4 linked regions of the Struthio camelus genome follow. The protein of the gene in region 3 purifies or fractionates together with the protein of the main gene of each other region. This does not show direct contact. Links are inferred from orthologs where the notes say so. Each region holds a gene or a part of one and is shown on either strand. Other genes may lie near its edges.

What was found. Proteins that work in one complex are often made in the same cells at the same time.
Region 1: the proteins of AP2M1 (region 3) and MEA1 purify together in Homo sapiens (affinity purification with mass spectrometry; 3 studies listed by BioGRID and IntAct, counting the BioPlex papers as one, with this or other methods). This does not show direct contact. The link is inferred for Struthio camelus from reciprocal best matches to the Homo sapiens genes AP2M1 and MEA1.
Region 2: the proteins of AP2M1 (region 3) and NECAP1 purify together in Homo sapiens (affinity purification with mass spectrometry; 3 studies listed by BioGRID and IntAct, counting the BioPlex papers as one, with this or other methods). This does not show direct contact. The link is inferred for Struthio camelus from reciprocal best matches to the Homo sapiens genes AP2M1 and NECAP1.
Region 4: the proteins of AP2M1 (region 3) and ANKRD28 purify together in Homo sapiens (affinity purification with mass spectrometry; 3 studies listed by BioGRID and IntAct, counting the BioPlex papers as one, with this or other methods). This does not show direct contact. The link is inferred for Struthio camelus from reciprocal best matches to the Homo sapiens genes AP2M1 and ANKRD28.

What each region holds. Positions count from the first base shown.
Region 1 is NC_090944.1:147,959,861-147,966,117, forward strand, and holds MEA1 (male-enhanced antigen 1), read right to left. Parts: upstream 1,810-6,257; 5' UTR 1,776-1,809; coding exon 1,476-1,775; intron 1,392-1,475; coding exon 1,277-1,391; intron 1,198-1,276; coding exon 1,034-1,197; 3' UTR 510-1,033; downstream 1-509. UniProt on the Homo sapiens protein: May play an important role in spermatogenesis and/or testis development.
Region 2 is NC_090942.1:88,542,155-88,549,945, forward strand, and holds the start of NECAP1 (adaptin ear-binding coat-associated protein 1), read right to left. Parts: upstream 3,010-7,791; 5' UTR 2,752-3,009; coding exon 2,654-2,751; intron 599-2,653; coding exon 498-598; intron 348-497; coding exon 243-347; intron 1-242. UniProt on the Homo sapiens protein: Involved in endocytosis.
Region 3 is NC_090950.1:22,546,475-22,553,801, reverse strand, and holds the start of AP2M1 (AP-2 complex subunit mu), read right to left. Parts: upstream 3,001-7,327; 5' UTR 2,857-3,000; exon of another isoform or gene 2,816-2,856; intron 1-2,815. Other genes in the region: DVL3 (segment polarity protein dishevelled homolog DVL-3), read right to left, coding at 5,958-6,382, 6,690-6,902.
Region 4 is NC_090943.1:40,772,245-40,779,849, forward strand, and holds the start of ANKRD28 (serine/threonine-protein phosphatase 6 regulatory ankyrin repeat subunit A), read right to left. Parts: upstream 3,010-7,605; 5' UTR 1,321-3,009; coding exon 1,204-1,320; intron 78-1,203; coding exon 1-77. UniProt on the Homo sapiens protein: Regulatory subunit of protein phosphatase 6 (PP6) that may be involved in the recognition of phosphoprotein substrates. Involved in the PP6-mediated dephosphorylation of NFKBIE opposing its degradation in response to TNF-alpha.

The sequences.
Region 1 (6,257 bases), on a different chromosome or scaffold from region 3:
TGCTGTCCTTCAGATGGTCTGTCTCCACCTGCAGTCCCCTGCCACATCCAGAGGAATAATGGTGAGATTGTGCCATGCACAGGGGCAGGATTGTAATGCATCACAACTACATGCTGTACAGCTTGGATGTTCTCATAGCTTTGTGTGTATTGTTCTGGGTCAGGGAACTTACGCTTAGTACCTTAACATTACCGTTAGTTTGCTGCCTATTCATTCCAGTGTCCTGGACATCTAAGAAGGGGACCATGAGAGAAGGAGGGGGAGCGTGTTAACCCTCTCTGTCACACGTACTGCTCGTGTGCAGACCTGTGTCTGCTACGCTATGGCTGTCCCTTGCTCCACACTCGGTTTCTAGCATTAGTGCTCATTTCTGCCTATGCCTTTCCCCACATCAGCCAAACGGACAGAACTGGAGCTGCCTCTTCCACGTCACACGGCTCCCTCCTCCTGAGGGAACAAGCAAAACTACTGCATTCACCCCCTGGACACAAGTATTAAGCTGCTTACAGTTCATATGTACATATGGTGTACTTTATTTTCAGTAGAGCATTACATAGTATGAAAGTGTTGGATTTTTGTACAGATGTCCCTGTATGTACAGAAGTAAATAAAACCAATCTCTTGGAAAGACACACTGGACTCCACCTCTGCTACGTGAAAACACAGCTGCTTATCCTGCTAGGAGGGGCCTGAGCGCGGGGGACTTCTCCAGCACTGACAGCACGAGGGCAAAGCCGGTGTTTGTCCCGCATCAACCTGGGTGAAGCCAGTCGAACCCCCTCTCTCCACGCACGTAGGCCGGTAGGGAAACCAGTCTAGTTCCTCCGAGGTGGAGGACCAGGAAGCCAACACAAGGACACCACAGCGACTCACACGCCAGCCAGAACCTGGAAAGAGGAGCAGGAAGGGAGGTTGGACAACGGCAGTGGGAGCAAGGGGAAGGTCAGTGCCGGCGCGTCGCACCGGTCGCCCGCCTCGCACGCGTGACCGAGGGGAGGGCGCAGGCGAGCAGCCCCAGCCCCCGGCTCGGGCGTCACTTCCACTCGGGCCTGGGGGTGCCGAGGCTCTGCCGGGCCTGCAGCGTGCGCTGCACCACGTCCTTCCACTGCTCCTCGGAGATCTCGCTGGCCCACGCGGGGACGCCCAGGCTGGGCAGCTTCACGCTGGCCATGGTCCTCTTCACCAGCTCCACGTGCTCTGGGGACAGAGGGGCGTGAGGGGGGGAGCCGGGCGGCCGGGCCCCGCCGCCAAGGGGGCCGGGGGGCGCCGCCGCTACCTGGGTCCATGGGGATGGAGCTGCGGCTGCTCCGCGCCGCGGCGCCTTCCTCCTCCTCCTCCTCCTCCTCGTCGCCGCTGTCCGCGGGGGGGTCGGGCAGGTGCAGCCTCAGCATCTGCAGCGCGGAGGGAGACAGCGGGGAGGCCGCGGCCCCGGCGCCGCCGCGGCCCGCGCGGCCCCGCGCCCTCCGCGCCGTTACCTGCAGCCGCTCCCGGAGGCCCGGAGCGGGGCCGGGGCCCGGCTCGGCGCAGGCGGCCGGGGCGGCGGCCGGGCCCTGCTCGCCGGGGCCCTGCTCCGCGTCCTGCCTCAGCGGCTGGTACAAGTAGCCGCCGCCGCCGCCGCCCTCCTCCTCCTCCTCCTCCTCCTCCTGCTCCTGCTCCTGCTCGTCCTCGTCGTCCTCGTCGTCGCCGCTCCAGCCGGCCGCGCCGTCGGGGGCCTCGGGCGGCCCCGGCTCCTCGGGGCAGACCCGCTCCGGCCCCATGCTGCGCGCCAGCGCCATCCGCCAGCGAGGCCCCGCCCCCCGGAAGCCCCGCCCCGCCGCGGGGCATTGTGGGGGTTGTAGTCCCGCCGCCGCCGCCATGTCGGCCGCCGCCCGTTTCCGCGGCGGCAGCGCGGCGCAGCAGGACCCCGCGGGCCGGGGCCGCCAGGAGGCTCACGGCGCCCCGGGAGGGGTGGGGGAAGGACGCGGGGCGGCGGCCGGCGAGGGCCGGGCCGGGCCGGGGCGGGGCGGGCCGGGGCGGGGCGGGCGGCGGTTGGGGCGGCTCCGCACTACAAGTCCCAGGGTGCGGCGGGCGGGCGCGGCGGTTGGAGCGGGCTGCCGAGCCGCCTTCCCGCCGCCAGGTACCGGGCTCCGGGGCGGCGGGGGCTCCGCGCCGGGCGGGCGGGCGGCGGCGGCGGCCTCCTCCTCCTCCTCCTCCTCTTCCTCCTCCTCCTCCTCCTCCTCCTCCTCCTCCGCGGCCCTGAGGCGGCGGCGGCGGCGCCCGCCCGGCCCGGGGACATGTCGGCGCGGCGCCCCGGCGGGCTGAGCTGCCCCGCGGGGGGTTTCCAGCCCCCTGGGGCGCAGCGCGGGCGGGCGGCGAGGTGCCCCCCCCCGGCGCCCCCCGGGGCTGGAGGGGCCCGTGGCGGGCGCCCGGCGGGGCGCGGCTCTGCCCGCTGCGGCGGCCGGGACGGAGGGGCCGGTCCGCGGGGGCCGGACCCGAGCCGGCCTTCGGGCGAGGAGGAGGCCGCACCAGCTGCCGCTCGAGGCTCCGGGGTGCCCGGGGCCCGAAACGGGACCCGCCCGCGCGAACCAGCTTCCGCGGCTCCTCCGGCCCGGTCTGCTTGTCCCGCCGCCGCAATTCTACATCGCGAGCGCCCGAGCTGCTGAACGTGCAAGCTTGCAGTTTCGTCCTGCCTTGGCATAAATAGCCAAAGCATCAGGCAAATGTCAAGCACGAGCGAAGAAATCGCGTTGTTCTCATGCTATCTCGAGCAGCAGGTTGGGTGTGCTTGAAATAGAACCGTCTGTGTGGCCTGCTGTGAGCTGGCTGGGCTATTTTAAGTGTTACTAAGCCTTGTGGCTGGCACCTTTTGGGGGACGGAGGACCGAGGCAACCGCACGGTAGGGATTTGCTCTCCTGCGCAACTTCTGCAGAGGCAGAAGGCTCCTCTGCTTGGGGTGGTGCGGTGATTCTGGGGGCGACAAAGGCGCAGCCCGGGAAAATCCCGGCTGCTTCCTGCGGGGTTTCTCTCTCCTGCTCCGGGAGCTGACTGAGTTCCCTGCAGCAGGGCTAACGGGAATAGCTTTTAGAAATGACTGAAGTGTCCCCTTCTAGGGGTAGAAGAGCGAGCCAGCCCAGTGCGCCCAAAGAAGAGAGTCCAGGAGTGTATGTTCTAAGATCGTGGTCTGTCGACAGTACCTGAAGCTTGTTGATAGCCTCCTATCTTGAAATGTTTTGGTAGTTAATTCTAAGGCTTGAAAATGGTCTAAAGTGAATAGGCAGAACAGCTTAAAAAAAAAAAAAAAAAAGGTTTTTTTCAGTCAGAGATCTCTAACTACTGTTTTTCTTCCTTTCCCCCCACCACCCCCCTTTTGCTCCAGTGACCACAACAGGTTTGGAAGGTGTTCTTGTGGAAAATTATTGAATGATTTTTCTAGTTGTTCTAGGCAACTGTATGCTGTATCTGTAGACTCTTGCGAGGTGCAAGCTGGGACAGTTTGAAGGTTGTATCTGCGGCTTCAGGCAACATGACAGCCAGAAATTTGGGAGATGCTCTTTGTAAGTGCTGTATTTGAAGAACATAGAGCTGTCTTAAAATCTAGTTGTCCTTTTCCTTAGCAGTGAAATGTCCTGGGCAAATTGCTGTGTTCCTTTTGCTGGGTGCCAGCACTGATGAGGAACAAGGGAAGCGTTGGAAGACATCCACGGCTGTTTCCCTGCTCGCAGGCTGGGGGGCTTCTGCTGGCGGTTAGGTGCTGCGTCTGACCGCAGAAGTGCGGTTGACAGCAATTGACAGAGCCAGTTGGTGGTCACAGCATGGTTGCTGTGGCACTGCTTACCCAGAAAGCCTGGACCTGGCCTTGTGATACCGTGCACAGTAGATGGAGGGCTTTGTGCGTTTCTGTGAGATCATAGCAAATTGTTTTGAGCACTTTTGATTTGACTTCCCTGCGCTCAGTGGTACAGAAACAACTCATGGCTGCGCCCTGTGTTTTCCAGCCGTGGTCAGCATCAGGCACTTCAGAGGACAGACTCTGCCACGGTAGGTGAGGTGTAACCTCCTTTTAAAAACGTTCTTACCGCTGGCAACTAGCGCCAGGACCTGCAGGGTTTCAACCTGAACGTCTCTGCGTTCCCTGCTGGGCAGATGCATGTGAAACCACTGGAAGGGAGAGCGCGACTATCGTGCGGTTGCTGTCTGCCAGAGTCAGAATGAAATGAGAAGATCTGATAGGCTTTGGAGACGTGAAGAGGCAATAAGCGCCTCGGTGAAAGCAAGCGGTGGCTCAAGCAGAAGCCCGTGCCTTCTGTGCCCGAGCCCCCGCGTGTCTGTGCGTGGTGCGCGTGCTCGATGCGTTGCCCTCTCTTCTCCCTGCTCAGAATGGGAGAAGAATCAGCCAAAGGTTCCTGATTTACGGTGAGAGAGGGAACGCCCAATTGACAGAACATGTGTGAGCATGGTTTCTTTGGTTTTGCTTATTCTAGAAAAATCTTGTTTCCCACCCTGTAAGAAACCTGTGCTTATTTTGATGGAGCTGCTCAGCCTCCCTGCAGGTATGTTGCCGTAGTTCGCGGGGGCTTTGGGGGGCAGTTGCAGCTGGGCAGGCTCAGTTCGTCGCAGGAGGACCTTGGACCTTTAACTGCTGTGAGAGCTGTTCGGAAGGAAAGGCAGCTCCGTGTGTGCGTGCAGGTGCACGGGGAGAAGCGTGCTCAGCAGGGTTCACTGCAGGGACGTACGAGTAGCTCAGGATCTGTGAGAATCCCTGTAAAAGATAGTTCTCCTCTTATCCCACCAGGTCTTGGCTTTAGCGAGAGCTTCTGTGACTTAAACGATTCAAGCTTAATTTCTCTACTATGTGAAAGCGCTTCCTTTGATCCACCTTGAATGTCAGCTCTACTTCTCTGTGGTTTGTGGTGCAGGGTGGAAAAGTGCCTGGCTCACCTCAGCTGTGAGGCTTATTGCCTCCTGCAGCCGATGCCCTCTTCAGTTCTCTAACGCAATCTCTCTCGTCAACGCTCCTGTGTTTTATAGCCTAGATCTCTGTCGCCAGAGGCTGAAGTGAGAAATCGCAGAACGTGTTTTGCAAAACTTAATATATAGTTCATTTAATGAAAACTGTTGGATGTTGTTTTTACTGTCCCCCTCCCCCCCCCCCATCTGCAGACTGCTCCCTAGATGATCTTTGAAGCTGAAGGACACTAAGGCCTGCTGGCTTACAGGAAGTGTATTGGTGCCTCCTGTTAGGAAGACTGCACGGAAAACGGGTTGGAAAGGGCATAGATATGTCTTCATTTAGATCCTAGAAATTAATATTGGGACCCAAATTCCTGAAATGGAATTTAACTACATGTGGAGTTGTAGGGCAGGAAGTAAACAGTTTTCTCCAAAAACGTGCTTAACTCATGCTTGCAGGTAGTGTGGAGGAATTTATGAATCCCTGTGGAATCACAGGAGGAAAAAATGAGTTTGGGAGAGGAGACGGCTCTAATGAACGATTTGAGACAAGGCAGGGTAGGAGAGAGGCTGAGGTTAGAGGAGCATGAAAGAAGCAGCGAGTGGGATGCAGAGGAGGAGTGGAGGGTCTTGGTGGGACCGTGACCGTGGGGTGAGCAAGGAGGAGAAGAGGTGAACCTGGGCATGACCGAGAAGGGAAGGACAAGCGTCCCAGGCACTTGGCAAAGGCAGGAGGGCATAGTGACAATTTCAGGGTAGGGTTGTGGCCAGTGGCAGAAGCAGCAAATGGAGTCTAGCTGGCTATTTTTATAAAACTGCTCTTAGTGGCAATGCAGTTCCTAGAGGAGAAAGCACTGGGGTTTGAAGAAAGAAACTTTTCACGGCAGCTGGTTGAATCTTCTTCTTTCGTTCTTTAACATACGAACCTGTAAACATCACTTCACATGTTTGACTTCTGATTATTTTATTTTTTATAAAGCAGATGAGTTTTTTTGGACCTACCCTGGGTCTGTTGAATCACAGTAAAAAGTATCCTGATCAATCTTCCTGTTTATTATGAAGGTGGTATATTTGAAGTGTAATCACTAACCTAAATAACATGACCAACCCCGCCGCCACCTCGGTGTCTATAAAACTGTTTTGCTTTCAAGGTTGGTCATCTCTGGAAAAAGCTTTCTGAGTAAGTTAGGCCTTGTGTAAGAATATAATTGTAGCAAACAACATTGTGACATTGTTGCTACAGTGTAAACGTTGTTTCCTACAGTATGACAAACAGGAGCTCGAGCTGGCGTCTCGGTTGACCTCATTAAGGCTATACGTCCTAAGA
Region 2 (7,791 bases), on a different chromosome or scaffold from region 3:
AGGATGCACCCTTCATCCCACGTGGCACTCTCCAAAACTGAATCCTCCTTCTCAGCCTCTGGACTCTGTGCAATGTAGAGAAGCCTCCTCTGCTGATCTTGCCTTCCTACCCCTCCAGGCACATTATCCAACCTTTTCAGCACTCCCAACATCATCTCAATCCACCTGGCCTACACTCAGCTTCAGCAGGTTAACTCTCTTCCACCCCCAGCACTTGGGCCATGCATGACTCCTTGACTCACCAGTTCCATTCTGAATCCGAATGACAAAATAGCGGCTGGAATCTGTCACCGTCTCCACTGCAATGCCAGGGTATTGGTCTATGGGAGCCTGAGCAAAAAGCTCCCCTATAGGCAAAGAATCAGGCGTTAACAAGAGCAACCTCTTTCTAAAAGATGATTGGGGCTGCCACGCACAGCTCTGAGCTGGCTTAGAAGCACAGGCTCCTAAGTAGCAACCACAGTTATAGTGTTGACAAGCCACACCCCTTCCCTTACCTGAAACCTTATCCTCTAGTTTTATGTATGCGGTTTTGCCTTTGGAGGTCACACGAAGTCGCCCTGTCCAATCCGGATGGTCCAGTTTCCAGTCAGAAGCCCTGAAAAAAAGAGCAACTCTTCACTGACAGTTCCTCAATATTTACATTTCTGCCCAACCAGCTCAGCTAAAGCCCCTGCTCCCAAACCTTCATCACATGAAGTTGCCTCATTCCGCTTCTCTCTCTTCCCACTAAGTTCGGGAGTCTGCTCCTCTCCATTGTGGGGTTAACTCCTCACTGAGGGTCTCAGCTCCTCTCTGTCACTACCAGTCTACATACGAGGCTCAGGATGGCCTTTCTTTCCTTCGGGTAAAGGAAAATAGATACAGTCCAGAGAACATCAACTCCCTGTCTTTACTTTTATAAACTTGCAGAAGAGGAGAGACTGAAACCCTAGAACTCAGTTGGGATAGTAAACCTAAAAAGGACTAATAAGCAACTAGTGAGCATCAGGAAGGCCTAAAAAATTTACAGCATGCTGAAAAGACACTTGATACTTTTTACAACAATGGGGTAAAATAATGAGTACTTCTAAAACTAGAGGCAGCTTGTTTACTCTATGTAAGGCACCACACACACAAGCATACACACAATCTTATTTGGCCCATCAAACTCTTTGCTACAAAACGTTGGGGGAAGGGGAGGAAAGAGTCAATCCTACAGCATTCTACACTCAGAACTGAACATTTGTGGCCAGGAATACCATCGACAGCAGCAACAGTTCAGCAAGACAAAGCAAGTGCTCCTGACACCATTAGTGTTTCAGAGCATAAACCAGTCACTCCAAGAACTCTGTGGAAGTAGCTCACAAAGTCATGTTCTGCTGGTTTTGGCTAAAGACAGAGAAGGTATTTCTAACTAACTTCTAGCCCCGCCAGAGTCACAATCAGCTTTTTCTGGCTTCCACCCCCACTGCTCCAAAAGCCAGTGGGCCAAATTTAACTTTTTGTTATACCACATCACGTTTGTGCCTCGGGGAGCAGAGCAAATATAATTGAGGGCAGAAGTTATTTCTGACTAGAAAAAGCACAGCAAGTGATTTACATCTTCATGTCCTGTGTGAGATTAACTAAGGAGACTCCCCATTCCCCTACAGCACAGAGGAGAACACTCTTGGTTTTAGGCACAGAGAATATACATCAGACTTGATACAGGTTTATCAGAAACATCAAGTACATCATCTGCAGCTGAAGTTTGTGAAACTGCAAGTGCGTAAGGCTTCAGAAAGCCTACTTGACTTGCTTAATGCCAAAGAGAGTGCAGACAGTTCAGCAGGTATTAGCACATAGAAGCCTCCGCCTCTCAAGCCTCTGTTTATTCACACAGAACAGACTGTGCTGACTCTGGGCAATTCTGCAGGAGCGCCTGAGCCAGCACACTCTGCCAGAGCAGTACCAGCTCTGCAGGGACAACGTGGGGTGGGGGGAGGGAGGGAGGGAGAGAAAGAAATACATCTACCACCAGAGAAAGCAGCTATGGTATGACTCAGAGCACACACAAGAACAGATTCGTGAAATAAGAAGAGGTCATTTTTACAAATTTACTTCTCCCTTGATCCAGGCTGCAAGCCCAGCACAATGCAGGGCATGGGCATCACAAAGCAAAACCGAGAGGCCCAAGGCCACAGCTCAGACCCCGGTTACAAGACAAAAACGAACGATAGCAACTCAGTGCATGACTGCACTACCTTTTCACTCTGCGAGAGCACAAGGAGCCCGCACCTTCCCTCAGCAACGCTTCTCCCACCCCAGTTCTGGCACCGTCAAGAGGCGCTGGCATCCCGCGGCGCAAGCGGGCCGCTGCCGCACAGGCACTGGCACCTACTCCAGCCACCGGCCCCCGGAGAGGACACCTCTCCCCACCTCAGCGAGGCGCCTACCTGCTCCAGGGCCGCCCTCCAGCTCCTCAGGCAGCGCAGAAAGGGGCTGAAGGGCGGCCCTGCAGCCAGTGCCGCCTCAGGGAGCCCCGGAGCGCAGCCGTGCTCCCCATGACGCCACGGCGGAGCGGCGCGGAGCGCGGCGGGGCGCGGCACAGCGCACAGCCCCCTGCCCAAACACAGATCGCCCGGCCTCAACCTCGGCCCCGGCTCCCTGGCACAGCACAGACCCCCCTTACCTGTATCCGCGGTTGGAGGTGCGCGGCGGGATGCGGTACACGTTGACATCAGGCTTCACACACAGAACAGACTCATACTCCAGCTCAGCCGCCGCCATCTCAGATATTAACCCCAACTACCTCAGCAGGTAACGGCGGGTGGGGAGCCTAATAGCCGGGGGCGCTTCCGACCGCCATGTTTACTGAGGGCAGACGTTGCCAAGGGCGCGCGCGTGTGGCCATATTGCAATCAGGCCGCGCTAAAGGCGTGGCGGAAGGCATCATGGATCGTGGCAGCAAAACGCTGGAGTAGGGGAGGGGAGGTGGCCATATCGAAACCGTTCCTGACAAAGCAATACGGATGGGTGCCATCTTGGATCCTGGCAGTTGCCACAGGGTTTCGCGCGGCCATACTTGATTCGGGCTGATGAAGTCGTGTCGAGCGCCATCCCGAATACTGGCGACTTCCCTTTCTCTCGGATACTAGAGTGGCGCGGAAAAGCAGCCATGTTGGAAATGGGCAGAATGGAGCAGGCGGCCACCGGAAGCCGTACCGCGTGCTGGCGTGGCTGCCCTGGCTGCAGGGGCCGCTTGCGCTGGCCCGGGTGCTAATGGCTCTGGCTGAGGGCATGGCCCGGGGCAGGATGCATGGCCCTCCTGGGCCTTCTTGGGCTCACCCCACGGAGCATGTGTGTATGAGCGGCCAGCCCAGCTTCTCCAGGAACAGAGCCACCCCAGGAAGTGTGAGAGCTGCTTCCCACATGCCCCATGCCCAGGGCAGGACCAACTGAGCACTTCCAAACCAAAGTGACACCAAGCAGAAGCTCACAGTGTTGTGTCATGTGCTGGAAAGCTGCTGCTCAGGCAGCAGCAGTCAAAACATGCAGTTCGGTTGTGTGCTTTCATGTATTTGGAGGTCTTTTAGTTCTCTGAATGTTCTGAGTACTGTTTTGGGTGCTTTGCCTTCTTTCTTTCATGTTTTTCTTCTCTGCAGCCCTAGGTCAGGAAGTTGGATTTTAGAGGAAAAAGGTTTTTTGTGTACTCTGTGGTTCTGCGACTAAGAGGCCCTTGGTAAAACAGCAAACCAAAGAGAAAGTGCAACACAAACCACTGTAAGTTTTCCAGCTAAAACTGGTGAAAGTGCATGTTAAGTGTGCTTAAGGTTAATTTCAGAGGTATGACTTCCCAGAAATTTGGCTAACCTAAGTATATAAATACTAATTTATTTATTAAATATAATAGGATAAATATTAGTAGCATTTAGACTGCTATTTTGTAATAGTCACTAACTTCCCAGTGGAAGCTGGTGCTGAAGTCTACCGCTGTACAGTTGCTTGTGGCGGACTCTAGAGAATGTTGACCCTGAAGACTGGGGAAAAAAGGGGTAAGGCAAGTTATGAACAAAGTTACGTTTGTCCACCCAGCCTGGGACAGACATAATATGGGCTAATTGTGCTAGGAAGTAATTTAAGCAATCCATGGAACACTGAATAAGCATAGTTTATTGCTGAGGGTGAAACAAAGTGAATGAAATGGCGCTGAGTTTGGGGAATTATTTTTTTTCTGGTATGGTATAGTGTTAGTTAATGCAGTGAGAGCTGAAACTGTGTTTGGAGATTTGTTATCATTTTCATTCCAGGGGTAAGTGGAACTGGGTGGTAATAAACCTCAGCCATAGCATTCTAAACAAGCAGTCCTTCTGTCAGGCCTAAGGTCCAACTAGCCCAGCAGTATGTCTCTGACAGTGCCCACTACAGAAAATATTTGAAACAAAGGGAGTTTGTGCTACTAGTTCCATAGATCTGGTAAGCGAAGCCCAGAAAAGGAAGTCTTGAGTCATTAAAGTCATTGAGTCATTAAAACTAACAAAACAAAATACTTACAATTTAACTAGCCTATCTAAATGTAACTGGCCAAATTTTTCAGAAAAAAAAAATGATGTGGGCAGCTGTATGAATAGATACACACAAAGGAAGTATGACTGGTGTGAGCTGAGTACCTGAAAAGACCTGGTTTACTATGGAATTATGCAAATACACAACTTTCCCTCTGCCAGCTTGTTCTGCCTCCTTACAGCAGGAGGGAGGGGCTGGCACACAGGATTTCTGTGGCAGATCTTGATGCTCCAGGGAGCAGAGGCCCCCACTTGAGTGAAGCAAGCTGCTCCCTGCCAGGCTGCACACTGGAGCAGGCAGATAATCTGTCTATCTTCCTGGGCAATGAGATTTGAAACCCTTCAGGCAGCCTGGACAAGAGCAAATGGGAATGTGTGGAGCCAATACTTAATGCAGGTAGGTGCCACAACGTAAAAGAAAGCTCTGCCTCCCTGCTTACAGTATGGCAGGGTTATGTTGCTTGCCAGATTGTCAGAATAAAAGAAAAGGTAAAAGACAGCACGGTTCTGATGCTGTACTGAAGCTAAAAGAGGTTAACGAGAGGCAAACCTTGGAGGAGAAGGCAACAGAGTTGCTTAAAGAAAGCATATTGAACAGCACAGAATTACACTTTCCTCACATGAGGAGAGGCTGACAGAGCTGGGACTGTTTAGCCTGGAGAAGACAAGACTGAGGGGGAATCTGATCAATGTGTATAAGTATCTGAAGGGAGGGTGTCAAGAGGATGGGGCCAGACTCTTCTCAGTGGTGCCCAGTGACAGGACAAGAGGCAACTGGCACAAACTGAACCACAGGAAGTTCCGTCTGAACCACTTTTTTACTCTGAGGGTGACTGAGCACTTGGAACAGGTTGCCCAGAGAGGTTGTGGAGCCTCCATCCCTGGAGATATTCAAAAGTGTGTGGACACAATCTGGGCAATGTGCTCTAGGTGACCCTGCTTGAGCAGGGGGGTTGGACTAGATGATCTCTAAAGGTCCCTTCCAACCTCAATCCTTCTGTGATCTGTGGGTAGCCTGATAATAATCCATGCAGAAGAATCATTTGAGCTTTTACTTTGGTTTGATTGTGTTTCAGAAAAAATAATGCATTGTCCAGTAATGTGCATGAAGCCTATCTTAATGGATGGATACAACATATGGCACATATTCCTTCTGTGCATAAAAGGCACAAGGGAAACCCACCTTGCAAAATGAATCACTTAAAATCTTGAAACAAGCGTTTACATAGAACAATCCAAACACTATTTCAGACAATGACTCTTTCACTGAAAATGCCCTGGTAAAAATTCTGACTCAAATCATCCTCCAGTACTGATCTTTTATTTTGAAGAGCTGCTTTTTCATTCTGTGATCTATGTATATACCCGTTTTGCCAAGCTTGTTTCCTGCTTGATGTGCAAAAGGCTTGTGCCTACCTGAACTTACCAAGCAGTGCACGAGAATGGTTTTGGGTTATCCAGGGGATTTTCTAAAGAAGAGAAACTGAGGAATATCAATACAGAGCAACCTTGCTGATTCCTGGAGTTACTGCAGCAGCAGCCAGTGAGTCTCTATGAAACTAAGTACATACTAGAGACAATGAAAAAAAAGAATATAGTAAAGATTGGCCACTAAAGCACCACAGCATGCTCTCTGGCGATGCAGTTATGCTAGCTATGGCTAAGCTTTATAGGGAATGTTTTGGACATTTGTTTAGGAAGATGAGCTTGACAAATACACAGGGAACTTTCAGCATCTGGGAAAGATGACAGCTATCTAGTGGCTCCACCTGCTCAGAAATGAACAGGGAGTCTCAAAGGGTCTGTAAAGCTTTGGAGAACTGCAGAAAAAGTAGTAAAAATACAAAATGGAAGTGGAATTCTCAATTCTTGCCAAACTGTTCTGGAAGCAGCCTGCATTCTCTTGAGGGTGGGAGGTTTTTGTAAGTATACCTGATCACATTTATTGAAGAGCAATTATCTATGAGTGTAACTAGTAACTGGTGCAGGTTTGTACTAACAAACAGAATCACAGAATCCTTTAGGTTGGAAGGGACCTCTGGAGATCATCTAGTCCAACCTCCCTGCTCAAGCAAGGTCACCTAGAGCATATTGCCCAGGATCACATCCAGACGGGTTTTGAATTTCTCCAGCGAAGGAGACTCCACTACCTCTCTGGGCAACCTGTGCCAATGCTCAGTCACCCTCACAGTGAAGAAGTTTTTTCTCAGGTTCAGATGGAACTTCCTGTGGTTCAGTTTCTGCCCGTTGCCTCTTGTCCTGTTGCTGGGCACCACGGAGAAGAGGCTGGCCTCATCCTCTTGACACTCCCCCTGCAGATACTTGTACACGTTGATGAGATCCCCTCTCAATCTTCTCTTCTCCAGGCGAAACAGGCCCAGCTCTCTCAGTCTTTCTTCCTAGGAGAGGTGCTCCAGCCCTCTAATCATCTTGGTAGCCCTCCGCTGGACTCTCTCCAGGAGTGCCATGTCTCTCTTGTCCTGGGGAGCCCAGAACTGGACACAGTACTCCAGGTGAGGCCTCCCCAGGGCTGAGGAGAGGGGCAGGATCACCTCCCTCCACCTGCTGGCAACACTCTGCCTAATGCACCCCAGGAGACCATTGGCCTTCTTGGCCACAAGGGCACACTGCTGGCTCATGTTTAACTTGTTGTCCACCAGGACTCCCAGGTCCTTCTCTGCAGAGCTACTTTCCAGCAGGTCAACCCCCAGCCTGTCCTGCTGCCTGGGGTTCTTCCTCCCTAGGGGCAGGACCTTGCACTTGCCTTTGTTGAACTCCAGGAGGTTCCTCTCTGCCCACCTCTCCAGCCTGTCCAGCTCCCTCTGAATGGCAGCACGGTCTTCTGGTGTGTTAGCCTCTCCCCCCAGTTTAGTATCATCAGCCAACTTGCTGAGGGTGCACTCTGTCCCTTCCTCCAGGTCATTGAGGAATATATTGAACAAGACTGGACCCAGGACTGACCCCTGGGGGACACCACTAGCTACAGGCCTCCAACTTGATTCTGTGCCACTGACCGCAACCCTCTGAGCTCAGCCATCCAGCCAGTTCTCCATCCACCTCACTGTCCACTCATCTAGCCCACACTTCCTGAGCTTACCTAGGTGGATGTGGTGGGAGACAGTGTCCAAAGCCTTGCTCAAGTCCAGGGAGACAACATCCACTGCTCTGCCCTCATCTACCCAGCCAGTCATTCCATCCTAGAAGGCTATCAGATTGGTCAAGCATCATTTCCCTTGGGTGAATCCATGCTGACTACTCCTGATCA
Region 3 (7,327 bases):
GCCGAACTGCTCACTCTTGAGCTACAGCTCTGAACAGTGACTTGCATTCTATTCGTCTTCAACAGAAAAGGTTAGAGACACGGACTGCGGTTTGAATAAGAGCTTGTATTCTGCAGACCACTAACGGCCTAGATACCCCAACTTGCCAGTATATCTCTTTCTGCTATGACTTTGGAACAGATAACTGCATTTCATATCCCGTGCCTCAGGCTGCAAGCTTTCAGCTAAGCTGCCAACCTCCTGCTGAGATCAAAATAAAGCGTGGCTTGCCAGTAATTTTTGACTCTGCTGAAAAGCAGCTCTGCAGAGAAGGACCTGGGAGTCCTGGTGGACAACAAGTGGACTGTGAGCCAGCAATGTGTCCTTGTGGCCAGGAGGGCCGATGGCATCCTGGGCCGCGTTTAGGAAGAGCGTTGCCAGCAGGTCGAGGGAGGTGATCCTCCCCCTCTACTCAGCCTTGGTGAGGCCGCACCCGGAGTACTGTGTCCAATTCCGGGCCCCCCAGTACTAGACATGGCGCTACTGGAGAGAGTCCAGCAGAGGGCTACGAAAATGACTAGAAGACTGGAGCACCTTTCCTATGAGGAAAGGCTGAGAGAGCTGGGCCTGCTCAGCCTGGAGAAGAGAAAACTGAGGGGGGAGCTCATCAATGTGTACAAGTATCTAAAGGGAGGGTGTGAAGAAGATGGGGCCAAACCCTTTCCAGGGGTGCCCGTGACAGGACAAGAGGCAACGGGCACAAACTGGAACACAGCAGGTTCCATCTGAATCTGAGGACAAACTTCTTTCCTGTGAGGGTGACTGAGCACTGGAACAGGTCGCCCAGAGAGGTTGTGGGGGGTCTCCTTCTCTGGAGATATTCAAAACCCGCCTGGACGCAATCCTGTGCGACGTGCTCTAGAGGACCCTGCTTGAGCAAGGGGGTTGGACTAGATGATCTCCCAAGGTCCCTCCCAACCTCGGCCATTCTGTGACTCTAGTCATCTACTAAAGGAAAGAAGCAGGCTGTACTATACAGACCTATTACATTTTGGCACCCTGGGCTGTACTTCTGTCTGTCCTTCAGCTAACCCCAAGAACATTTTTAACACGCACTAGCAGTCTTCAGTAGTATAAGCTTAGAACACTAATGCAAGACACTTTGTGTTGCACAAGAAAGTTTTGTCTCATCCCTGCATCAAGAAGACCTAAAGCTAAGTTTAAGTAGGGTCACAAGAAATTTTTATATAAAGCATGTTTTGTTCAGTGACTATTCCCATCCCATCAAAAAGATTAGAAACTCATCCAATCAGCAGAGCGCACTTCCAGTCATCTGTGTTTCAAAGAATTCAAGATTCAACCCTTCACAGCCTCAAGACTCAATTCTTAGAAGGCTGGAAATGTGCTCTCTTGAAAGGGAGAATTTAGTCATGATACCCTTCAAGGGTATCGGAAACAGGTTCTCTTCTTGGAGACAAAGATGGCAAGCTTGCAACCCAAAGAACACCAGGTATCCTTGTCACTAGATGTCAGTAACATGGCGTTCCCAACAAAAGCAATGCTTTCCTTCTGACAGAAAAAATATGGAAGTAGGCAGTTTGGCAGCATCTCACCAGATGAGATACTGTCCCTGCAAGCAAAACTGACGGGGACAAGTCTGTCATTTGCTACTGAACAGAATAGTAACTATGGTCCTCACAGCATTCAAGAGAACACTACCTAACAAAACACCACTACAGGAACCTATATTCAATTAGAAATCCATAATATCTCAACTTCTGAGCCACAGCAGAAGCCATCCAGGCTCACCTATCTGGGAAAGCTCCAGGCTCAGATTTTTGGCAGCCTGAGGCTAGAAGTTGACAGCAGCTTTGTCATCCTAAAGCAAGGAAAAAAACCAGAACTTCAAAATTTACAGTTTATAGAGAGAAGACCAGATCAAACAAGACTCATTTCCTAGTGAGAAGTCAACTACATTGTACAAAGGCTGCATTTCCTGTAGCCTTACAGACTCCAAAAACCTAGACCATGGAAGAAAGGAAGTGGAAATGCATTTAGAAGAGCTGTGGGATAAGGGCCCATTTCAAACCTCAGAACAAGGACAGTTCAGCATCAGCAGAGCTATAGTCTGCCTCAGCAGGTTCTCCAGAAAGGAAGCTAGAGGGTGCAGTCCACGACCTAGCTAATTCATGTTCATATCAGGAGTACAGATAAGTCATTTTAGGGGAAGTTCCTGCCTAATCCGACCGCAAGACCTTTGCTCGGGGTGACCCAGCACAGCGGTGCAGACCTTTCCCCAACACCCTGCACCGCTCAGGTCTTGCCTCTGCCACCACCACCCTCACCCGGTCTTCAGCAGCACCGCGGACACGAAGCCGCCACGACGGGTGTTCCGGACAGAGCATTAATTAACACAGGCGGCTAACAACCACCTCCCCCCCAAAGCAACACGCGAATAGATGCTAGCCAGCTCCAGCCAGCGGCGAGGCTGGGGGCCACCCCGGGAGGAGGCCCGGCAGCCGCTCGCAGCGGGCTGAGGAGCAGCTCTCCAGGGAGAGCCCGCTTCCCTCCCTCGCCGCCCCGCCGGCTCCAGGCGGGACCCCGGGGCGGCCCGGAGACGCTGCCGGCCCCCCCCAAGGGCAGCCGTCGGGGGGCCTCGCCCTGACAAGACCCCCCTAGGCCTGTCAGTGCCACGCCGCGCCCGCCGGGGGAGGCCCGCAGACCCCCGCCCCCGGCGGGTACTGAGGGAACCACCACCCAGGGCGGCTCGGCCCCGAGGAAGAGACGAGCCCCACCGCCCCGGGAAGCCGCCCCGCGGGAGAAGCGGGACACGCACCTCCGGCGTGGAGGAAGAAGGACCGCGCGGCGGCGCCTCACCTGCCGCCGCCCGCTCGCCGCTCGCTGCTCACTACCCAAGATGGCGGCCGCCACCCCCCCCTTCCCTCCGCGCCCCCCCTATCACTGCAGAGCCGCCGCCGCGCATGCCCCGCCCGCGCCCCGCCGCAGTTGCGCATGCGCCTCCGCGGGGAGGCAGGGCGGGGACTGTGCTCCGCATCCCGCCGAGTCGCTCGGCGCGCGGGGGGGGTGGGGGGGGCCGCTGAGTATGCTGGGAGTTGTGGTCCTGCGGCGCGGCGCGCGCTGGGAGTTGTAGTCCTATGGCGCGGTGCGAGCTGGGAGTTGTAGTTCCGGGAGGTAGCAGAGCTGACACACCCACGCGTGGAGTTGCGCAGGCCCAGCAGCAGCCCCCCCGGCCCGGGGGGGGGGCTCGAAGCACGGGGCATCCCCTGCCCCTCGGCATGGTCCGTGCGAGCAGGGCCCTCAGCCCACTGTCCCCAGCAGCCCTCAATTCCCTGATCCGCAGGGGGCTGGGGATACCCGTGGGACACAGCCCGTGGGGAAAGGTGGGTGCACTCGGCCAGGCCCCCAGCTGCCGTGCCCAGCCACAGGCACTGCTGCTTTCCCATCACCCACCCGCGCCATCCCCCCTCACAGGCCATATGTGCAGGTGCTCCTGGGGCAGCTCGCCCTCTGCCACCCTCTCCCCCTCATCTCATCGTGCCACGGGCAGCCAGGCAGAGCCCACTTCCAGAGCTGCCCAGGCCCCAGTCATCCCCCCACCCCCCAACGCATGCACCGCAAATATCTTTGCCTTACAGGCCCAATGAATAATTTTTCATCTTCTAATGCTGTGATCAATCAGCTCTTGCACCAGAAAGCAGCAGCAGGAGGAGGCTGGGACAGGCCGAGGTTAAGTCATGGCAGGTCTCAATAGCCCAGGAAGAATAGCTCTGTTAGAAAACAGAGAGGCTCAGGCCCAGGACAGCCCCTCGATGCCCAGAGCTTGCTGCCGAGCAAAACACAGGAGCATAGAAAAGAAGAGGGTGCTGAAAAAAAAACAACACGAGGCAGGAGTCCAATAAAACTATGTTTATAAATAAAAACAAGGAGACTGGTTTTGTTTTTATAAAACCCAGAGGGCAGGGCAGGGCAGGGCAGGGCAGGGCAGTGAGCAGTGGTCAGGGGAGGCTGCTGGGTGGCATTACGAAAGGCAGGAGAAGGGACAAGCAGCAGCTTGCCAGCACCAAGATCAGGGGACAGGAAGATGGCAGAGACTGGGCAAATTGGCACCAGCAGGCACAGGAAGAGGAGAGGCTTAGGGAGTCATAGGGAGATGAACTGGTGGCACACAGGAGCTGGCAGAGGGGGTGCAGGCACAACGCAGACCCCAGAGGAGCAAAATACATTTCATCTCCAAAATATAAAAAATTCAAACATAAGAAAGAAAGGCTGAAGGAGGCAACACTGTTGCAGAGAAAGCCATGGTCAGCAATATGAGAGGGCGCCAAGACCAACGGGAGCAGGGTCCAATGCATCCCTACCGTACCGTGCTCAGCCCCAGGCTCTGAGGAGGAGGCCGCCCCCCACCCCCTAACCCAAGGCACATCTCCTTCCCACACCACTCTTGTAGAGTGGAAGAAAGGCTCCACACACCCCAAAGAGGAGGAAAAAACAGAAGGGAGCATCAGAGCAAACGGACTCAATTGCCATCGCAATCCTCTGTGGGCACTGAGCCCAGGGCCCTGCATTCAACACCACAGTCCTTAATTCACAGGAGGGTTTGCGTCTCTTTAGGGAGCCATTTGCATCTAGGCTGGAGCGGGGCAGGCCCAGCTCTGCAGCTTTCTGGGCCCAGAGCCCCTTCCCTCCCCTCGACAGGCCAGCAGAGCTCATCCCGGGGGAGCAGAGGGTGCGGCTGGCCAGCGAACACAGGAGATCTCCGCTTTCCCCAAAAGAATGAAAGCGGACCAGAAGTGCCCCTCCCTCACCCTCTAGCTCTGTCCAGGCCACCCACACATCAGCATTGACTGTGGGAGATGTTACATTGCTGAAGGGAAGCGCAGCAGAGCAGGAGGGGGAAGGCCCCAGCTGCAGACACTGGCCCCAGGCGAGGGGCAGCCCCTACACAGGAGACAGGCAGCAGGGTGTGCTAGGCAGGAGGGCAACGCCTGGGCCTCTGCACCCCCTTTGGCAGAGCAAGCAGAGCTCTGCCCTTACATTCACACCCGTGCACACCACACACCCCCCCAGGCCTCGACCGGACATGTTTAGGTACCCAGCGCCAGTCAGGGTCGGATGCCGGAGGAACGGACCCAATCTCAAGTCTCGCTGTCAGGGAAGCAGGCAGGAGGGTTCTGCCATAGGGTAGCGCCAGGCTCAGATTTGGCCCAAGGAGCGGCAAGGGGAGGGAGGCTAAGGGAAAGTGGCACCATCCCTCCACTCCCTAGAGGCAGTGAAGCCCTGGAACATTCATGCATTAGCCAAAAGGCAATTACACTTGGATTTAAACACATATAAGGCCAGAGCTGGGCGCTGCTCCCCTCTCAGTGCTGCGGAAAGGGCAGGGAGTCTTCCGCTAGGGGGAGAAAAGAAGACATCTTCAGCACCATGCGTGCCCAGCGCCCTTGGAGCTCCGTGTCCTCCTGTCGGGCCACGCCACGCTCCAGCTCTCCCCCCTGCGGGCGGCAGGCTCAGAGAAAGTCAAACACCCCGTAATTCTTTGCTGCTTGATAGAAGAAACACAAAAGGGTGAAAAGAAAGAAGAGATGTTTAGGGCAGAAGGACTGCGGCAGCAGCAACACACGGGCAAGCAGCACAGGGCGCTGGGATGGATGCAGATTAATGGGGTTAGAGAGGACGGCAGGAGGGAATTACCATCGGCAATACACAAGTCTGGTGGCAGGATGGGCTGGCAGAGCTCAGCAGGCCTGCCAGGCCCCTCCACCCCGCTCGAGGAGGGATTAGAATCAAGGTTTAGTTCCATTTATTTTTTTCCCTTTTTTTTCTTTTAGTTATCAAGACCAAAAAAAAAAAAAAAGACCCATAAAAACAAGGGGTGAAGCTGGGGCTGGTCCTAGGAGACAAACGACTGGGGATGGAAGGGGGAAGGAGGGGCAGCAGACAGACAGGGGACGGGCGCTTCACATTACATCCACAAAGAACTCACTGGGGTTGCCCATGGCCATTCGGAAGGACTGTCTACTGGCTGTCAGTTCTGGGGGCACAGAGGCCAGGTCACGGCCCGGCGGTGCCCCGGGGGGCCCCATGGCTGAAGGCGGTGGAGGCATCAGCAACATGGGGGGGCTGAAGAGAGGGGGGAGGCCAGGCGGCCCATATGACTGCTGGCTGTGGTGGCTGCGGATACTGTGAGCCAGGGAGTGCTGGCTGCGCTGGCTGTGCTGGCTGGCAGGCACCGAGCGCTCACTGGCCGCACGCTCACGCCGCATGCTGCTCCGGGTGGTGTGGTCCGACTCGCTCCCGCTGCCACCTGACTTGGACTCTCCAGTCTTCTCTCTCTCCTTCCTCCTCTCGCTGCCGCTGCGATTGGAACCACTGCTCCGGCTCCCTGCAAAACACACGGGGCAAGGTTAGGCAACACATCAGATAAACCAGGAAGAAAGAATCCTCTGCTCCCCACCAAGACAGGACTACAACACACTGCAGCACAGCTACCAGACTGCACAGTCCATGGTCTCACTCTCCGTTCAACTCTAATCCCATAACCCCTGTGGGATTCCTCTGAATGAAGGCTTTGATCTGGCTCCCCCATGCATACAGCCTTGCCTAAGGGACTAGCCTGTTCCCGCAGCTTCCCCCAAGTGAACAGGGCACCTGCTCAGCTCTACAGGCACATGTGGGTCCCTTTCACTCACCTTCACTGTGCTGGCTGCCTGCACTGCCCCCTCCATAGCTGTAGCCTGGGTCAGGGAAGCCGGGGTGGGGGTTGTATGGATGAGGTGGTGGATACTGATATGGGAAAGCCATAGGCCAGGGTGCGGCTCCCGGGTGTGGGAGCGGAGCCAAAGTGTCCTGATCGGAGGCACCGCTGGAGCCATCATGATCATGAAGAGACAGGTTAGCCATGTCTGCAGGAAAGTAGAGAACAGGGGTTAATCCGAGTGGAAAGATAGCCACGTGTGATGAAACAGCATCATGTCCACCCTTGTCGACAGGCAGCGATGCGGTACACAAGGAGGTAAGAGAAGCTGGCACCCTCCCTGTTAAGCAGTACAGCCACGTGTGCCTCCCGCAGGGACAGCATCCAGGCTGCGAGACTCGGAGCTGTCACTCCGAGACAGAAACAAGCTCAGAGGGAAAGGACCACATCAGAGCTAGAGCTTGCCTTGCCAATTAGTCTCATCCATCCTTCTCATTTGAGCAGAACCTAGCTGTCAAGAGCACCGCTCCCTTGCCAGCAGTGAAAGCTCAGAGCCTGGAGCCAAGTACAGTCAGAAAAGGCTAAGACTCTACTTTGGCTGCCCAGGCAAAAAGACTGCGTGGCACACGATAG
Region 4 (7,605 bases), on a different chromosome or scaffold from region 3:
TTAACATCTTCTTTCTTAAATATTAGTGCTCGAACTTCATCAGGATCTCCATTAAATATAGCTTGAACCAAAGGTGGCTGAAAGGAAGAAGAAAAAAAAAAAAGGAACACATCTTAGAGTATAATTCCATTTTACTTTGTGTCGACACATGCATGGTTTTTGGATACATAACACACAAACACCAAACAAGGACAAAAGAGAACATCCCAGGCAGTGAAATGAAAAATGAGAAACAACCGAACTGAAAGATTTCCAAGTTTTAAAAACCTCCAACACACCAACATACTCAGGTCATTGCCCCAACCACAGAAAGGCTGGAACGCTAGCTATAAGGGCTGAAAAGAGAAATCCTTATAATACAATTAAGGCTTAAAATAAAGTGAGCTTGTTAACACGTACTGTGGATTCTATAAAATATATGTAAACAAATCCCTTTTACGTTAGCAAGTGACTAAAGTTATTAGAAATTTTCACCTGTTTGGTTACAGAGTAAGAAAGCAAAGTGCTGATATCAGATAAGTATGGTAACAAATTCACACTCACACACACGTATTACTAAATATAGTAGGATTTCTTAGTAAGTAAGAAAAGCTGCTGAGATACGCTCGCACGATTTTAGTCAGGCACTTGACAAAGTAAAATCATTTAAAGAAATTAAAGGCGCTGCACCCACAGTGTCGACCGTGTCTAGGAAGCAACAACCTGAATCTAAGTTAGGTCTATATGATGACCTCTGCCCTTTTTTCATTTTAGCTTATAACTGCTGTTGCTTCATGTACACAATCTACTGTATCAGTTCTCAAAATAAACACAACAAATGATGGCGATATAACGATTACCTCAGTTTCTAAACTGGTACTGCACAAATACACCATTGAGGAACGGGGAGAGAAGTGAGGGGAGAAACATTTACTTCAGCCACAGTTTTACCAGGCCCTCTAGAAATCGTTTGCTACTATGCAGGAGTTGAGATTTGTTATTGCTGCACCACAAGTAAAGTCACATGCAAAGGAAGGAGCCCCTGCAAATATTAATTCTACAACTAAGCTTCAACTTTTCCCCCACTGTTCAGCGTGGGCAGTTTTTACCCTCTCCCCTCTGGTTTCAACATCAGGCGTATTCATGTCAGCCTTATGACAATTACTAGTGGCACTTGCAACCGCAGCATGAACAGGAAATATGCCAACAGACGACATGCCTTACCAGCGCGTTTCCAGAGGGCGACGGGCGTAAAGATATATTTTCCTGAGGTATTTTGGAAATAAACGTGGGAGAATCATCTTCCACCTCCTCCAAAACAACAATACAGACTCGACTCATTCGATCCGTTTGAGGAAGGAAAAGCAAACGAAAAAATGCCGGCAACTATATTTCTGGAAGCCCACTGTCGGTAGCACAACACGGAGCATACAGGAAATACTTTCACCTCTTTCACGTACCCTCACAAACTTGCAAGTGCTACTGCCGGTGTATTAACATTTAAAAAAGAACACTCCAGTCCGTCCTTGCACTTCATTGTTCAGATTTAAACACCCTGAGACGTTCATGACAATGGTTAAAAAAAAAAAGTTGTTCTTTTTTTTTTTTTTAAATAAAATTTCACTCCGCATCAAGACCGCAACAGTGAAACTGTGGAACAAGCTGATAAAAATATCTCCAGATCCAATTCAATCGGAACAGAATGCACCGCCTCAAATAGCTGTCCTTTCACCAGCAAATTTGTCTTTGCTAATGCCGCCACTTGAGCGGCGCAGCGTTAGGCGCACAGTGCAGCCATTGTTGCGGGCGGCGTGACACCAGCCTGTGCAGCCTGCAGCAGGGAACAATTGCCCTGACGGGGACGGCCGCAGCTAGACCCGAGCCTGCAAGGTCACTGACAAATGAACAGCAGCCGCCTTGCTGGTGACTGAAAATAACACCGGTTCTAGTCACCCTGTAATTCTACAGCTTCAGTTGTCAATGTCAAAAACAGTCCATCTGAAAAACGCATCTGCTTCTCAGCACTTATTCAGAACATGGTCAGAGGATGATAATTCTTTCCCATGCAATAAAAATATCTGCAATGTACAGCACGGCTGCAGCACATTTACATGCGATGAGTCAGACCACAGGGACAATGGAACTCCTTGAATAACATTGCCTGTTTAATCCAGATTCCCCAAATGACAGCCACGAAGACAGCTTTACTCCATCAGTGACACAAGCAACGCAGAGTGTTCGGTTCTCCTTCAGCAGGCAAGAGCTGTGGCTTCTCCATCAGGGACTGCGTTAGGCAGAACGAACGCTTCAGCAAAACAAGCTAGCTACCACGGCACAAAAGCTCAGATTACTGCCTGAGACGACTTCTGCAAAAGCAGTTCATCACTCAAGTGTTTCTTTTGATCACCATGTGAATACAGTTCCCATGATAGTCTTCATTCAGATTGAGGGGGAGAGGAAGGAGGGAAAGAGGAAAAAAAAAAGGAAGGAGGAAAAAAAAAAAAATCAGACTCCGTGCATCTTCTCTGAGCCAACTTCTTTATTCAAACATCTGTCACTGTGCCAACCTGATTCTCCTCTTCAGTTAAAGGTTCCGCTTATCAATTTTTCCTTGACAGATTAAATGATGTGATCAGCAGATAAGTCTTGCAAAGCTTAAGAAGAAGAAGAAAAAAAGCCTGTCTGAATCGGTCATTAGGAGACCGGAGGAGCGGAGCACAAGCCACAGCCACAGCAGCTTTCCAACTGAGCAGGAGCCGACAGCGCACAGACTGCAGGCTCGCAGGATGAAACGCCTAGTAATGCTCACATGTCACACTTACCCGAGAACTGAGCTACCGCGCGCAATGCAACTTCCTCCAGGGAAAAAGAAAAAAAAAGAAACAAAAAAGCGCCCTTTGGGCAGTCTCTGCAGAGGCAATGTTTGTGCCAGTTCCGTGACTAATTCATCTCAAAACGTAAAAATTCTATAACTGAAGAAAGAGCGACTGTTTAATATTTTCCACTAAAAGCCACAAAGAAATCTGGTGTACTGGCTCTGCTGACTAACAACAATTTAGGCGGTAAACAATTCCAGCATTTTAACTGCTTTCATATGGCACTGGCCGGAGCAGCAAAACAATCCTTGCTTAACTCCTTGAAGACAAGAAACTCCCCACAGAAGTCTTCTGAAAATGAAATGAAAGTAAAATCTCTCTTAAAAGTAATCAGTTGACTATTAAAAGCTAGTCATTAATGACCAAACCCATGTTTTGTTGCAACTAGTAGACACCAACAGACCCTCAGCCTGAAAGAAGAATTACATCAAGTATAATTTGAATAAAATAAAGTCCTACAACTTGCTGAATACATATTTCAGCTTGAATCTACTTAAACAGTGCTGGTTTGTGGGTGTATTATGTAAATGAATCCTGTCAGAGTTGCTGGAAATGCTTCAGCGTTACATGAACAGAGGGAGGGCTTCTTGTTCATCCTGCGCAGCGTGGAGGTACTTCTGCTAACGTCCTTTAGCAGCTGATAGGAGCATAATTTGTCAATGGTGAACAAGTTGAAGAATTTTATAACTCTTCCACAAAACACTCTCACTCAAGTTTCACATATTCATCCAGGCAGAGAGAAAGACTTAAAGGGTATATTAAATGGCTTGGATATTAATAGACAAACTGAATTCCCATCTTTGGAGGCCCAGTGAAAGGAAAAGCTCACATCACCTCTATTTTAAAATAATGTCTGCAATAGCTTCACTGCAACATAATACATTCTTTTAAAAAAAAAAAAAAAAACAACTACTGACACTTCCTGCAGATAACACTTTTGCACTTACAAAAACCCTATATTACGTAGCCTAAGACTGCCTGAGCTTAGGGTCGCTGGCCTGGCAGAACGCAGCACAAGCTTCGGTTTCACTGTGAAACTTCTGGTAAGGTTCAGCTTTCCCAAATGCTCCGATTTACAGCATGTGAGTAACACACATCTTCATGAATGTACCTCATTCATCACTATATATATATATAGAGTCCGGTTGTTTTATAATTTCATACTTTTGGTCTTAATTAAGAAAAAGCAATGGTTGGTACCCTACACTGCATTATTCTGGCACTTCAACAATTTATTAAAAAGAAATGATACGTTCATATGAGTACCTCTAAACGTCCTTCCTGGTCGCAATAAAAGTACAATTAATTTAAATAAAAACCAGGACATCCTCCAGGCGCATCTACTGCACCATCCTACTGCGTGCAAAGGAACACAGCAACCACAATCCATAGAGAATTTTTAGTTTTTTTTATTTGTGAAAAACACCCTAAGGAATTGACACTCTTGTTCACTTGCATAACTAAACATTATTATGAAAAAAAATAATCACATCTTAAGTCTATAAGCAAAGTAGACTTACAAAGTGTAAACATGTTTTTCACGCTATCTTTGTATATACACACACACGTACGTTAGTTAGATAATGGTAGTCTAGCGGAGTCCATATGTTAAGTAGAAATGAGCACTTTTTCAGAGCCAGTAAGTTTATACAGCAAGCAAACATTAAGAGTTCCAGACTTTACTTTGAATTAGCATTACATAGCAACAAGTCTAGTTACATAATGCTCAGTTTAGTTTAATTTCACATATCTGAAACTTGTCCATTTTTGATCCTTGCAATTCATGATCGAAATACATTTAAAAATTACAGAACTTCTGAATTTTCACAGTGAAATAAGTGTGAAGAGTTAAGAACATCTGAATCTACTCCAATTATTATTCTAGATATCTTACCTATAAATAAAATACATATAAACTATTTCCATAAGCAAGTTGACATCTTCAATCTTGTATGTTACATTTTTAAATGGTCACATTTCTATAGGCAAAAAGTGTTAAAAGCCAGTATGCCACAGCTTACATTAAAAAGAGAGCTAGCACAATTAAATCAATATTATATTGACCTTGATAGCATTCTGAACCATGTATGTTAGTAGAAGACATTAAAAAAAAAAAAAAATTACTCACACTACAAGTGTGCCATTTAATTACTTTCACACCCAAAGGACAATCTAATTTTAGAAACATTGAACTTTTTAACTTACAATTAACTCGTGCTTGCTATTTTAATACTCTTAAAATATACAATATGGTTTGGGAGTGAACACCTAAATTTACTGACCTACTGCATACTAAACCAGGTTATTTTGCATGCTTAAAAGAACAATCTTCTTCCCTCCCCACCCCCAATTGAAAGTAGTGTCTTCAAGTCAATAAAAATATTGTCATATTGTCTCTAATCATCTCTTTTTTTCAACTTCAAAAAACAGTCCAAGGTCTCCTTTGATTTGCAAAATACAAGCTGTTAATAGCTACTCTGAAAGCCAAAAGCTTACGTTCACAATTTCACTGAAGGAAAGCAAACTAAGGTTTCTGTTTTTCCAGCAGATTATCTGAGAACTAATAACTTTCAGTGAGGGAGAAAAGATAATAGCAGCAGAGAAGGAAGGCAATCTACGTTCAGGAGAATTAACTGAAGTACCCTCTTCCCAAACTAATTTTTTAAATGACAGAGCCTCACAAAGTTATGAAGACAGAATACTGCATCTCTCGAAACATACTTTTCAGTTTATCTTAGTAACATTTAAAACAACTGAAGATCAGCTGGTCATCAGCATCTATCATCTATAAAGCCTTCAAAGGCCTTTCCAGATTAAATTCTACATATCTGATATTAAAAAGCTTCTTAAAGGAGTAGTAGGAAAGATGAGTCAAGAGTGGCCTAACTTTAGTAATGGAATATCATTTCTATTGGGGTGATCTAACTGAGTCCCTGCAATAGTGAACTGTTAACAAAACAAGATCTCCACACTTAACTCTCAAATTCTAAAGAGGACAACAACGAGACACCGAATAAAGAGAATTTTTAAGCAGACAAAAGTGAGAATGTATATTTGTGAAAAACAGCTTGTGTTGACCAAACTGCTTTTTGCAAATAAAAATATCTTGTCTTTAAATAAATCAAATTCCAAGTGACTTTTGTGGGTGACAATAAAGAGAATACATCAGAAGAGTGCAACCTACAGGTTAAAACATGGATGATGGCAGCATGTCCAGTAACAGAGAGAAAGAACAGAAACTTTTTAGGAGCTAAAAATAGTAACATTTTCTAGAGATCTATCCGTTTCGTCAGGAACTGATGAGCAGAGGACGGAAGCAAGACTGCCAGTGACACTGAAAACCTCACTGAGGCACATTCAATATCAATGATCCTACTCGAATGAAGATTTCTCTCTTGCCAATCAGCTTTTACAAAGTCTTTTCTGGGCTGAGATTAATGCAACTAGTTTCATTCAATATTTTGCATAATCAGGGATCTAGGAAAAGAAGCAAATTCTGCTGTTAGGTTCCAGTAAAAATGAAGCATTTAAAACTGAGCAAAGCTTACCAAAAAAAAATTTAACAGTTTCGCAGCCATGCAAGACAAAGACCCAAGCTATGGATCAACCTGTAACACAAAGATCGTTTATAATAGTTAGGTTATGTCCCAGGATAATCAGATTTTTCTGTAAATTTACTGAAGTTTTACCCATATATACACGTCCCATACAGGGACAGTGTTCAGTGTTCAGCATCATCATGAATATAAGCTACAATACTTCCAGAAGCCTTGTGACTCACTCTTGTGAACTCCTCCTGCTCTTTCCTCTCTGGTCCTGAGGGAACGAGGTGGAGTCAGGAAGAGGAATCATGGAATCAGAGAATCACAGAATGGTTGAGGTTGGAAGGGACCTCTGGAGATCATCTAGTCCAACCCCCCTGCTCAAGCAGGGTCCGCTAGAGCACATTGCCCAGAATCACATCCAGGCGGGTTTTGAATATCTCCAGGGAAGGAGACTCCACATGTTTAAGGCAATAATAAATTATACCTTTATCCCAGTTTTGCTCTATTTATTCCAGATCATATGCACAGCTGGGATACAGGAAAGAAAAAAAGTGTGAGAGAGAGATTAGTCTTAACCTTTGCTCTCTCCACTGTATCTTTTGCTTCCAAGGACAAGCAAAATAGCTTCGCTTGACTCTATCCGACCTAGAGAACTCACGGATACCATAAGTCTAAGGTGGGGGGTGGGAGGGGGGGAGAGATGAATTTTAGTTCTTATTCTCTCACGTGTGTACATAGACTGAAACAATCTACAGAACTATATTAATTCAAACAAAACATGTGATTACATGAAACTGTGGTTAATAAAATCCAGTAACTGAATAGGCATCTCAATAAAATCTGAGATACAAATACCACAAAAAAAAAAGAAGGCATTCATTCTAACCTTTCTGTACTGAAGCAGTATTAAAAAAAAGTACCAGTGCAAAATGCATGTTTGTGTTTGAGATATAAACTTCTTTTGTACATTTTTAATCAAACCTTAACATTTTTAAAAACACTTCAGAAATAGCAATCTAGCAAGTTTCTATTTAAGGCTTTTTGCATATATTATACATTGAGCAATATGCATGGAGAGAACTTCTCCAGTGATCTACAGCATTTTACAACCACCATAACACAAAACAAGTCAACAGTTTTTTTAAAAACACCTTTGACATCCAAAATATGGAGTACAGCAACTTGTCCTATGAGGCAAGGGAAGG